2 linked regions of the Mus musculus genome follow. The protein of the gene in region 1 purifies or fractionates together with the protein of each later gene. This does not show direct contact. Links are inferred from orthologs where the notes say so. Each region holds a gene or a part of one and is shown in the gene's direction. Other genes may lie near its edges.

Region 1 (6,497 bases):
GAAATTCTCATCTGGTTTTTTTTAAGTGGAATATGCATAAAGATGGCCATTCCTGGAGAAGGGGAGAGATAAATGTAGATGCCTACCTGGGAGGACAGTGACGGATTCCACACCCACTGGCCCAAAGGATGGATCTTAACAACCACAGCAAGGGATGCTGTGCTCAGTTCTTGTCTGTTTTAGGACAAAGACAGCTTCCGTGGCTACCTGCACACATTAATATGTGGTGGGATGCGGGCCGAGAAGGAGGGCAATGCAGGGAGGTGTGGAGACAATAGAGAGGCATACAATTATTTCCAAATGGTGATATTATAAATGTTACTTTTTATAGTTTCCTCAATATCTATATTACATTAATCAGAAAAAAATGAGACAGGGCTCAGAACCTTCTGAGGGGCTTAGTTATCACCTTAATTTTCTATTACTCATTCCATTTTCTATTTCCAGACTTAGTACTGCTGAATTATTTTTAGAAATAATTTACTTTCTATAAGACGCCAAGTGGTTAGTTATGTGCAGTATTGAAATCACCATCAGAACTCATATACCATCATTTCTCTTTTTTTATATTTTTTATTAGGTATTTTCCTCATTTACATTTCCAATGCTATCCCAAAAGTCCCCATACCCTCCCCCCGACTCCCCTACCCACCCACTCCCACTTTTTGGCCCTGGCGTTCTCCTGTACTGGGGCATATAAAGTTTGCAAGTCCAATGGGCCTCTCCTTCCAGTGTATACCATCATTTCTTATCTTGAATCTTTTTCCTGAGGATTTTGTTTAAGATTTCTATTTATTTATGTTTTGTTTCTGAGTTCTCTATCTGTATGTACACCTTCAGGCCAGAAGAGGGCATCAGTTCCCATTACAGATGGTTGTGAGCCACCATGGGGTTGCTGGGAATTGAACTCAGGATCTTTGGATGAGCAACCAGTGCTCTTAACAGCGGAGCCATCTCTCCAGCCCCGAGGATATTTTGAACAACTTAAAAACAATCAAGCTATAAATTATTCACTTGGCTTAGAGTACATAAAGAATTCCCAGATATCATGCAAAAATTAATTCCATATAACAAGTTTCATTTTTATATAGTAATAGATTCACATAGTTTTCACGATATCTAGAAATTCTGGCTGGAGTACTCAAAGCTTTGGTGTGAGGGTAGAGTGAGTTAATACAGGGTAAGGCATCACATATACCCGTCACATAGTAAATGTGTAAACTTTGCAACTATGATCGTTAAAATTGCTAAAGTGATCGTCTGTGCTTCAAACTCTTTTCTGTGCGCCAGAACACAGGCCTGGGTGGAACACCATTTAGGAAGACGCTCAGCGACTGGTGGAAGTCTTCCACACTTGAGATTTCCTTCTACTTGAAATACACAGCGTATGTCTTTCCTACAATATTCCAGAAATTGACACACTTTTTTTAAAAAAATCAGCTGTCGGTTCAACTCAACTATTCCACTTTTAAGATTTTATTAATTTTTGTTTATATCTTAATATTCCGGCTTTCTTCTTTTCGAATCAATGCATTTAAAGAGATACGCTTTCCCCCAGAGTATTGCTTTTACAGCAGCTCATTCACTGTAACTTGATAATTAAAGGTGATGATGTAAATTGGGCAATCAATACTGGTTCATTAGCTCACACGTTCTCCTGGGCCAACCAATATTTGTTTTTTGCGACAGGGTGTCTCTGAGTCCTGGCTGTCCTGGAGCTCGATATGTAGACCTCAAATTCAGAGATCTTTCTACCTCTGCTGGGATTTAATCCGGTACTAGGATTAAAATCTGGAGTCAACACACCCAGGGATAATATTTATCTGTCGTTGGCACAAAGCCACCTTCCTCACTCTTCCCGCCCTTCGGGGGAGGGGTCTGGCATGACTCCACCCCTCCACGCGCCTCCCGGTTCCCATGACACCACGCAGGCACTGTAAACACGTGAGGTAAACTTAAAGTCTCCTTCCGCTGTTCTAAACCAAGTCTGGGCCCCGGCGGGGAGGGGCGGGGAATAGTCCCTTGGCAACCAAGTTCCGCGCCCGAGGGGGCAGGAAGGGGCGGGCCTAAGGGCGGAAGGAACCGGAAACCGTTCTTTCTGCGGCAGGACTGGGCAATGCGCCTCCGAGGGGCGGGCCCAAGCGTGCGGAGGGATCCGTGGCGGGCCGAGGCGGCGCTCCGCCTCCTCTCCGGCAGGCTCGGCGGCGCGGGCGGCAGTTGCTGTGGTTTCGGTGCTGAGGTGGCTCGGTGCTCACCGAGGCTTACGGATCTGCGTCACGCCGCCGCTTCCCGCCGTCAGTGGCTGCAGCTCTCAGCGTCCTACCTTCGGACCGGCGGCACCCGCTCTCTTTCGCCGCTCGGTGCCGATCTCCAATCCCGGGCCTAGGGCGGCGGCTGCGGGGCCGCGGCTGGCGAGATGTTCAAGAACACGTTCCAGAGTGGCTTCCTTTCCATCCTCTACAGCATCGGCAGCAAGCCCCTGCAGATCTGGGACAAAAAGGTGAGCGGTGGGGGCGGGACGGGGGTGGGGCCGACTAGCCGCCCACGTGATGGAGTGGCTACCGAGCCTTGACGTCCCGGTCAGTAGAATGGGGGCAGAGTGCCCACAGCCTAGCTTGAAACGCATAGCACTTTGAAGAAAGACATGCATGTGTTCGCTGGTGCCAAGCACTGTTGCTGCACTCCATACGGAGGGCCTTTTCCCCGGACATCCTGAGCACCGGCCAAGCCAGACTTGTTCTGATCCCATTCATTAGCTCCATCCGTCGACAGCCAAACCTTTGGAACTTGCTGCGAGCCCTCTGTAACTTAGAGTCCGTACTATTCTTCCTGTACTGGCCTTCTCCATTGGGAAACCTGCAAAAAGGTGATTGTTAGGGGCTTCTCGAGAGCCAGTATCAAGCCTCTGTATTTTTATCCAGCCGTCCTCTAGAATGGATGGTGTTTTTGCTTGCCACATGAGATGGTGGCCTTCCCTGTTCACTTTTGGAGATATTAAGATCTAGATGAAATGCCTTGCCGTTTCTTTTCTCATGAAGATTCCTGGGGCAGTGAGCTGGACCGTTTTTTTGTTTTGTTTTGTTTTTGAATATAAAGTGGTCACTCTAATGTGGAAGCCAGGTGATTTAGGGAATATCTTTAGTTCTGCCCTCGGCTGGGGAAGATGGAGAGAGGTGATATGCCTAGTGTGGTGTTCATAGAGATGTATATAGAATGGGTGGAGTAAGTCAAGATTATTCGTAGTAGGACTAGAACAATGTCTTTCCTAATTCACAGAGAAGGGCTTTGAGACACACAGTGGTTGACAGAGTACCTGCATTGCCTTCTGTTTGTCACTGCTAGGCAGTCGTGTGTTCTGAGGACAGCTTTGAGAGAAACCTGTTGGGAGTGTCTTGTCATTTGGCTAAGACAGTTGAGAGTTCCTCAAGATCTGGCCTTTGGTATGTAAGCAGTCTGACCAACTCTTTCAGATCCATAGCTAGAGTTATGTCAAGAGTATCCCATAGGAAGCGGACCCTTAGCTCCCCCCATCCCACAATCTCCTGAGTGTTCGTTCACTTTGAAATGAAGCAGCAGGAGCTCTTAAATGAGACCTGCAGGGAGAACCCAGAGACAGTCCACCTGGCAGTGTTGGGAGGGTGCTCACCAGCCTTGGTATCTTGCCTGTTCTGCACAGCCAGAGGGCACAGAGAGAGAGCAGGCTTGTGTGCTGCTTGAACTTGGAAACTGAGCTGTCTGAAGTGTTGGTGTAAAGCAGTCAGAACAGGGCTGGAGAACATGCTGTTTTGAGATGGGAAAGAAGTGTCGGAGCGTCTATCAGAGGGTTCATTTACCCCCTGGCTTTTCTCTGTGATGTGTTTTATTCTTTCAAGCCCGAGTTTTTGACTAGTCAACATGTTTACACATGGCATAGAAAGCAGAGTAACCATGGTGCACTGTGTCCCTTAACAACGCCTCTAAAGGTCCAGTGGTACCCTGATGACATAAACAACATACACAACATTATTAGGGCAGAGTCACATGGAGCAAATTAAACAGACATTCTTGCAAAAACAGGAATTAATTACGTTTCTAACTCTTGTTTGGATTTGACAAACTAGTGTTTAAGGGAGAAGTTTTCTCCAACTGAGGCAAGAGGGGGCAAGAGAAAAAGAAGAAGTTTAGGCCTATCCACATCAGCTTTATTGTATTCAGGCTTTTCCTCAGTTAAGCGATCTCAGTAACTGGGGATGCAGTCCAGTCAAGGAAACACTGGAGTTGGTCATGTTTATCAATGATTTATTGAGCAACATCTGAGTGATAGGCCTTGTACAAAGAAAATCACCCTTCTCCTGGGAACTAAGGCAAAGCTGTAATAAGGTCAGAGTCTGGTTGTAGGGTAGGGGCGACAGGGCTGTCTACATTACCAACCTGTGCCTTGGCCCTTTGCCAGGAGGCACTACACACTGACTGGGATGATTATTTTGAGTCCTTATTTTGATATCACAAGTATTTACTATTCTGACTTTTGCGTTTGTGCACAGAGAAAATGCCTATTTGGTTTCTATGAAAAACGATCTTGAAAGATTAGGTGTAGCATCTGCTTAGGCTTCTGAAATTAAGGTGATGTAGTCATTGTCCTTTGGCTTTTCCTCTCCTAAACCTCTAATGTGGCACTGAGGCAGCGCTGAGACTAACTAGTTGTCCAGGCTCACTCACCGGTTCCACTCCCTCCTTAGAGACAGGCTCCTGCTGCATGGAGGCCATGAAGCGCTCTGCACGCAAAACCTCCCGCACGCACTTGGTGCTCCTGGCCTTCACCCACATCTTCCTTGGTCTTTGGTCACAGAGCAGAGGTAGCAGTGCCTCTGATGCTTGCCTTGACCCCACAGGGTCATTTTATCAGCTCCCAGCCTCTTCATCCTCCTGTCCCCACACTGGGACTTAGTTAAGAGCTGAGACAGATCTTTGTTGGCTTTCAGACCAAGAGCTTAGAAAAAAATCAACAGGTTCTTTAATGTCCCTTTACTTCTGGAACCAACAGATCCGACTACCTTTATTAAGAATGTTAGGGCTGGATGGGTACAACTTTAATTAGATGAGTCTCTGGGAGTCTGAGTCTAGCCTGGTGAACATAATAGCAAATCCTAGCTAGGGTGACTTAATGATGTACTGTCTCAAAACAGAAATAAAACGAAGAATGTTGCTCCTCCTGCACTGCACTGCGTGAGTGTCAGTCGGCTTTGCTGCTGCACTGGGAGCCCATGGCGCTGGCTGCCCATGGCACTGGCTGCCCATGGCACTGGCTGCCCATGGCACTGGGAGCCCATGGCACTGGCTGCCCATGGCACTGGGAGCCCATGGCACTGGCTGCCCATGGCACTGGCTGCCCATGGCACTGGCTGCCCATGGCACTGGGAGCCCATGGCACTGGCTGCCCATGGCACTGGCTGCCCATGGCACTGGCTGCCCATGGCACTGGCTGCCCATGGCACTGGCTGCCCATGGCACTGGCTGCCCATGGCACTGGGAGCCCATGGCACTGGCTGCCCATGGCACTGGCTGCCCATGGCACTGGGAGCCCATGGCGCTGGCTGCCCATGGCACTGGGAGCCCATGGCACTGGCTGCCCACGGCACTGGCTTGTGTTGCTACTAGAAGCCCATTGGGCTGATTTGTGAGTGCTGCTCTCTCCTCCTCCCTCCCAGCTGCTAATGTTTCTCCATGGAATGTGACTGTATCAGAGTCTTTTGTTGATCTTGTTAAGTAGTCATAATGACTGGGTCCCCATTTCTTATTTTAAGGAAGAATAAAGACCCTCTCCAGAATTTAAAAAAAAAAGTCACTACATTTTTGGTGTGTGTGTGTGTGTACACTCACACACAGGCATATCTTCTTGCCTGTGTCCATAGAAGTCAAAGGACAAGTTGTAGGAGTCAGTTCTTTCCTTTCACCACGTGGGTCCAAGAATTGAACTCAGGACAGCAGACTTAGCTGCAGTAAGGTTTATCTACTGAGCCACTTTGCTGACCCTAGACCCTGACTTTTAAATTGATAAACCTTGCTGATGTGTACTAAGTCTGTCTGGCCTCCAGGAATGGAATTGAGTGCCTTTGGATAGAAAGAGTAAAATGATTTTCACTTTCCCAGGCGTGGTCTTTATTTCTATGGTTGATAACTTTTACTGTAACAGGATGAAAGCAGTGAGCTTCATTTACTTGTGCCCTTTCAAGAAACACTGTGAGCAAGGTGGTGCTCGTACACACATTTAATCCTAGTAGCCAGGTAGATCTCTGTGAATGTGAAGCCATCCTGGTCTACGGTGTGAGTTCTGGGACAGCCAGGGTTACACAGAGAAACCAAGAATCAAAAGAAAGAGGGAGAAAGAAAGTGATCGAGGCTTGGGAGGCAGAAGCAGGCAGATTTCTGAGTTCGAGGCCAGCCTGGTCTACAAAGTGAGTTCCAGACAGGGCTACACAGAGAAAGCCTGTCTTGAAAAAAAACCAAAAAAAAAAAAA
Region 2 (5,966 bases), on another chromosome or scaffold:
CAAGGTTATGAGTTCAAAGCTAGGCCCAACAGAACAAGACCCCATCAAAGGGAAGAACAGAAAAGGAAAGGGTAGGGTAATGCCTGCCTGCACATCCCGTGGCTACAAGGATTTCACCGTGAGTTAAAGACCAGCTAGCCTACAGCAGAGCCCTGGTTCAGGGAGAAAGGAATCATGGAGTAACATCAGGTCCCTGCTGTCTTTGCTGCCTTTACCAGGGCTCTGCCCACTCTGTGACCTATGCCCTTCATGCCCATCCTAACTTCCTCTGCAGGATGCTACGGAAAGATAAGGAGGAGGCAGAGGCCATCAAACATGCCAAAGCCCTGGAGGAGGAGAAAGCCATGTACTCGGTGAGGTCTGGTAGGGCTCGGGGGTAAAAGTGGATCCAGTGAGGGCACACCTCACCGTCCTGGTGCTTCCTCCCCATCCAGGGCCGTCGTTCCCGGCGACAGCGAAGAGAGTTCCGGGAGAAGCGGCTGAGAGGCCGCAAGATCAGCCCTCCCAGGTAGGATATCTCCTCTGCACAGCCAGGGGCTGGAGAGTGGAGCCCAGCCTTGGCAGTGGGGCGACAGTTACAGAGCTAGGAGTAGCTGGAGGCATGGGAATGCTTCCCGGGCCACCTGCCCCCCACCTCTCAGTCAACCTGCTGGGCCCAACACAGCCCACCTGCACTGGTCAGTGTCATCTCTACAGGGTCTAGATAAGAGGCTCCTTTCTTCTGGCTAGTTTCCTCCATTGTAAAGTGGAGAGAGGCTACTTCCCACAATGAAGTCTTGAGAGGATTGGGAGAGCAGTTGCATATGAGTAGAGAAGAATCTGGGCCTGGGAGCCCTGGGCAAATGTCTGAGGAAGGTTTGGGTGTGACAGTGTAAGGTTAGCAGCAGGCCACAGGCCCCTCCACACAGGGCACTGCCACCAGAGGACGTTACTTACCCTCACAGGGACCGCTCCTCCCCTATGAAGAGTGTGAATCCTCAGACTCAGATACTGCACTGAGTTAGTTGGACATACTGTTGTTTTCTCGCCAGCACTGATGTCACCATGCTGGGTACTGGTCACCATGGCTTCCAGTGTAGCACTGGCAGCACCAGGGCTGTAATAAGGAGACCAATGTGGGATCCCCACAATGACATGGGGTGTACAATCTGCAGCACTGGGGCTCAGAGTGGAATAGTTGACACTAGCCAGCCTGGTCTCAGCTCTCCTGCCCTTCCCTGTTCTCTCCATAGTTATGCCCGCCGAGACAGCCCCACCTATGACCCCTATAAGCGGTAAGTGTCAGTGCTCTGGAAGAAGTCACTCCTGTTTGGGTCACTCCTGTTACAGATGGCATCCTGTGGTCTATGGATAGGGGTTGGGTCTATATCAGTTTTGTTTTTCCAAATTTTTTTTTTAATTTAGAATCTCTTTAGGACATAAAGGGGCATAGAGATTGGGTGTGTTTAACACACGACTCCCAGAATTAGTGAGAAACTCCCCTCACTCTCTGCTAAGGCCAGGGAGTGGGGCCTTTTGTGTTGGCCTGCTTTTCCCTAAAGGGAGTCCCACTAGGCTCAGTGTTTCATGGGCTGGAATTAGCTGAGGACCTCCTCTCCAGGTTAAGCAGGAAGACCTCACTGTGTTTTGCTACCGTTCTAGGGCTGAAACCCAAGGTCTCTTGCATCGGCAAAGCCTTCTTTGCACTACACCGTCTTTCATTTTACTAGCACAGAAAGCCAGCTACTTTTGTTTTGTTTTGTTGTTGTTTATTGAGACATGGACTCTTGGTACTCTCTATGTAGACTAGGCTGGCCTCTACCCCTACTACCCCCTGCCCATTTTCTTTTGTGAAAAATTATATTTATCAGTCTGGGTGGGGTTGGTGCACATGTGCCACAGAGCTGAAGGTAAAAGGACAGCTTAGTTCTCTTTCTACCCTACTGTGTGGATTCTGAGATTGACCTCGGGTTGTCAGGCTTGCAGGCAAGAGCCTTCCCACCTGCAGAACCATCGCACCAGCCAGAAACTTAGTAATTTTTTCTTTTTTCTGGAGACAAGTTCTCTCTATGTAGCTCTTGTCCTCGCTTTTGATGTATACCAGGCTGGCTTTGAACTCACACATCCCACTAGGGCCCTGGTGCAGCTGGGGCTCTGAGTGCTGCCTCCCTTTTGCTCATCCTTCGCTGCAGGTCACCTTCAGAATCTAGTTCCGAGTCCCGCTCCCGCTCTCGCTCCCCGAGCCCAGGCCGCGAGGAAAAAATCACTTTCATCACCAGTTTTGGAGGCAGCGACGAGGAGGCAGCTGCTGCAGCTGCTGCAGCCGCCGCATCCGGGGCTGCCCCAGGGAAGCCCCCTGCGCCTCCCCAAACGGGTGGCCCCGCTCCAGGCCGTAATGCCAGCACCCGGTCGGTAACGCTCACGCCCGCCCTAGCGGACCTCCGGGAGGAGGGACGGGCCCTCTAGGACAGTGTCGCTCACAAACCCTGTTTTCCCCGTGCTCCCACAGCCGCCGCTCCTCTTCGTCCTCCGCCTCCAGGACCTCCAGCTCCCGATCCAGTTCGCGCTCCAGTTCGCGCTCCCGCCGTGGCTATTACCGCTCTGGCCGCCACGCACGCTCCCGCTCCCGCTCCTGGTCCCGCTCACGCTCCCGTTCCCGGCGCTACTCACGCTCCCGCAGCCGCGGACGGCGGCACTCAGACGGCGGTTCCCGCGACGGACACCGCTACTCACGCTCCCCTGCCCGGCGCGGCGGGTACGTGCCCCGCCGAAGGAGCAGGTCTGTGACTTATGTTAAGGAGCAGGAGTGTTAGGGGGGAGGCGGGCTGGGGACAGACCAGGCCAGCCCCTCTTCTCTTGGGAAGCACCTGATTGGAAGCAGGACAGGGTAGGTACCAAAGTATGGGGCGGGGCATGGAGGTATCTCCTTGGCTTTTACCTGGACTTCCCAGACTGCTGGACCTGGGAACCTCTGGGCTGGCCAGGCAACAGTCTTTGAAGAAGAGGCTGAGCGTCCATGTTGCCAGGCGTCTTCCCTGTAGCATGACCACAGGGGAAAGGCAGGGGCGGGGGAATGGGGCTACCACAAATTGAATGCCAGCCTGGGTGTGACTGCTTTCTTGAGAATCCTACCAGTACTCCAAGCGGGGAAACCCTGGGGTTCTCAGGGGACCAATGAGCTTGGGCTGTGGCTATTTTTAGGTTTGGTTGGGGAAAGCAGCGGTAGAGAGTTTGGATAGGGCTAGGCTTAGTGACAGAGCTGGAATGTCTTCATCTGTAGAACAGACACAACTATGGGGGTATCAGTCATTAACTGACTGGGAGCCCTTCCTTATCTTTCTGTTGCTCTAAGGAGGCTGAGCGTCCATGTTGCCAGGCGTCTTCCCTGTAGCATGACCACAGGGGAAAGGCAGGGGCGGGGGAATGGGGCTACCACAAATTGAATGCCAGCCTGGGTGTGACTGCTTTCTTGAGAATCCTACCAGTACTCCAAGCGGGGAAACCCTGGGGCTGTGCAGAGCGGAGCTTGGTATGGGACAGGGAGCAGAGTGAGGCATCTGAATGCCCCGAGCTCCCCCAGGATGTTAGCACCTGAGGGAGAGGGTGTGGGGTGCTGACTGTTCTAGAAGGTGGCCAGGGAGCAGCTGGGGCTTTCTGAGGGAAGTGTGTGGGGAAAGTGCTGGACTCTGCAGGAGGCCTAGCGATTTGGGAATTGGGGTGACTTCCTGTAGGTCCCTGAGGCCTCACAGCTCTCCACCTCTGCTACACCTAGGAGCCGCTCCCGTTCAGGTGACCGCTATAAGCGGGGTGCCCGGGGCCCCAGGCACCATAGCAGCAGTCATAGCCGCAGCAGCTGGTCCCTCAGCCCTTCCCGAAGCCGCAGTGTGACCCGGAGCGGAAGCCGCAGCCAGAGCCGGAGCCGAAGCCGCAGCCAGAGCCACAGCCAGAGCCAGAGTCACTCACCATCGCCCCCAAGGGAGAAGCTGACCAGGCCGGCAGCGTCCCCTGCTGTGGGCGAGAAGCTGAAAAAGTGAGTTAGGAGCCTGGCTGGTTCTGAGGGAGCCCTGATGAAATTCATTTTGAAGGGACTGTGACAGTACCCTGGCTATTGTGAGAGGTGTGTGCACTGCAGTGTAGGGTGAGTGCTGTTGTGGCCTTGCCTTGAGTAGGCTGTCAGAGAGGGATATGGCCCTGTCTGGGCTCTGGGGGTCAGGGACATATCCTGAGGAATCTGGAGCCCATGGCCGATGCCAGTGCCTATGGTAACGGTGGCATTGCCATTTTCTCTCAACCCAGGACCGAGCCTGCCGCTGGTAAAGAGACAGGAGCTGCCAAAGTCAGTAAGAATTTGGAACTCGCCCGTCTAACTCCCGTCAGCAGCAGTGTCCAGAGCTGGGCCCGGTGGGCCTGCAGGGGGCCCAGGGGGAGGGGAGAGCCAGCCCAGAGACTGGGGAAGGGCTACCCAGGCAAACTAAGTCCCATCCCTGCCTCCCATGGGACTCCAGCTGGCCCCCAAGTCCCAGACTCTTGACTGAGGTGGGCTGGGCGAGCTCTGGGCACCCACGCCTATCCCACCCCTTCTCCCCCAGCCCAAGCTGACCCCACAGGAGAGGCTGAAGCTTCGGATGCAGAAGGCTCTGAACCGCCAGTGTAAGTCCTGCCTCCAATCCAGCCAATGCCGTGGGGAGAGTGGGCTGACCTCTCTTGAGCCTGCCTGAGCAGGTCAGGTTGGCATGGGACTGAGCACAGCCCTCAACCTCACACTCTCCCTCCACAGTCAAGGCGGATAAGAAGGCAGCTCAGGAGAAGATGATCCAGCAGGAGCATGAGCGGCAGGTCGGGCTGTGCTCCTCGGATGGGCAGGGCACACAGGTGGAGTGGGGGGCTGGACCACCTCTCACAGCTGTTTCTGCTGCAGGAGCGAGAGGATGAACTGCGAGCCATGGCCCGAAAGATCCGAATGAAGTAAGGCCCCAACCTGTGGTCCACCCAGCAGCCTCCTTTTGGAGTCCTCTGGCTCCTTTCACTGGTCCTGAAATCCATTGCCATTGCTGTCCCCTTCCCCCTGGTGGCCTGTTCACCTTCTGACCTCATGTCTGAGCAGCATCCTAAAACGCCCTGACCTCCCTATGCCTGGCAGCTGTGTCCTTGGCGACTGACGCCTCACAGTGCTGAAGTGAGGCTGCCTGTGGCAGGTCTCAGCCCAGGAGCTTTTCCCCCTTCTCCCCCTTCTCTCCCTTCCACCACTCTGTGTTAGGCAGAGTTAGAGCCTGGGCCTAGGGGTTTAGCTTCAGGTATCCTAGTCTCTGATCAGGTGGCTCTGGGGTGGGGACTCATCCCCTCAGTGCCCACCAAATTAGGCAGCTAGGAGTACTACTGGAAGACCTCAGTTGGCCCAGGGCTCTTTGGCAGAGCCTGGGCTGTTGCATTGTGTATTGGCAAAGAGGGGAGCTAGTCAGGGCTGGGCCTGTTCTGTCAGTTCTTTCTGCTGTAGTGGAGGAACAAACATTTTGCTTTTTTGAGCTCAGTTGTTTTCCTCTGTGGAACAGTGGTGAGGATGGCTCCTATCTCTGTGGTAAGCCATGACAGCCAAATGTGCTGTGGGAGGGCCAGCTCCTGCTTTGTCATTTCTTTTTTGGGGGCGGGGGTTTGGTGTTTTGAGACAGGGTTTCTCTGTGTAGCCCTGGCTGTCCTGGAACTCACTCTGTAGACCAGGCTGGCCTCAAACTCAGAAATCCTCCTGCCTCTGCCTCCCGAGTGCTGGGATTAAAGGCGTGCACCACCACGCCTGGCGTCATTTCTTTACAATATATAATTTGCCCTTTTGTTTTTCTTTTTTGAGATAAGTGTCTGAGTGTAGATCTGGGTAGCCTGTAACTCACTCTGTGGCCCAGATTACCTTTGAATTCATAGCAGTCCTGCTTCATCTCCCCAAGAGCTGTGATTACAGGCATGGAAGACCTATCTGTCTTGGTGTGAGGAGGAGG

The links.
Region 2: the proteins of Cfap20 (region 1) and Clasrp purify together in Homo sapiens (affinity purification with mass spectrometry; 3 studies listed by BioGRID and IntAct, counting the BioPlex papers as one, with this or other methods). This does not show direct contact. The link is inferred for Mus musculus from reciprocal best matches to the Homo sapiens genes CFAP20 and CLASRP.

The regions. Positions count from the first base shown.
Region 1 is NC_000074.6:95,430,491-95,436,987, reverse strand, and holds the start of Cfap20 (cilia- and flagella-associated protein 20), read left to right. Parts: upstream 1-2,118; 5' UTR 2,119-2,416; coding exon 2,417-2,500; intron 2,501-6,497. UniProt on the Homo sapiens protein: Cilium- and flagellum-specific protein that plays a role in axonemal structure organization and motility. Microtubule inner protein (MIP) part of the dynein-decorated doublet microtubules (DMTs) in cilia axoneme, which is required for motile cilia beating.
Region 2 is NC_000073.6:19,583,133-19,589,098, reverse strand, and holds part of Clasrp (CLK4-associating serine/arginine rich protein), read left to right. Parts: intron 1-274; coding exon 275-353; intron 354-434; coding exon 435-508; intron 509-1,232; coding exon 1,233-1,274; intron 1,275-2,171; coding exon 2,172-2,387; intron 2,388-2,488; coding exon 2,489-2,758; intron 2,759-3,751; coding exon 3,752-4,009; intron 4,010-4,275; coding exon 4,276-4,315; exon of another isoform or gene 4,316-4,568; coding exon 4,569-4,629; intron 4,630-4,756; coding exon 4,757-4,815; intron 4,816-4,897; coding exon 4,898-4,944; intron 4,945-5,966. UniProt on the Homo sapiens protein: Probably functions as an alternative splicing regulator. May regulate the mRNA splicing of genes such as CLK1. May act by regulating members of the CLK kinase family.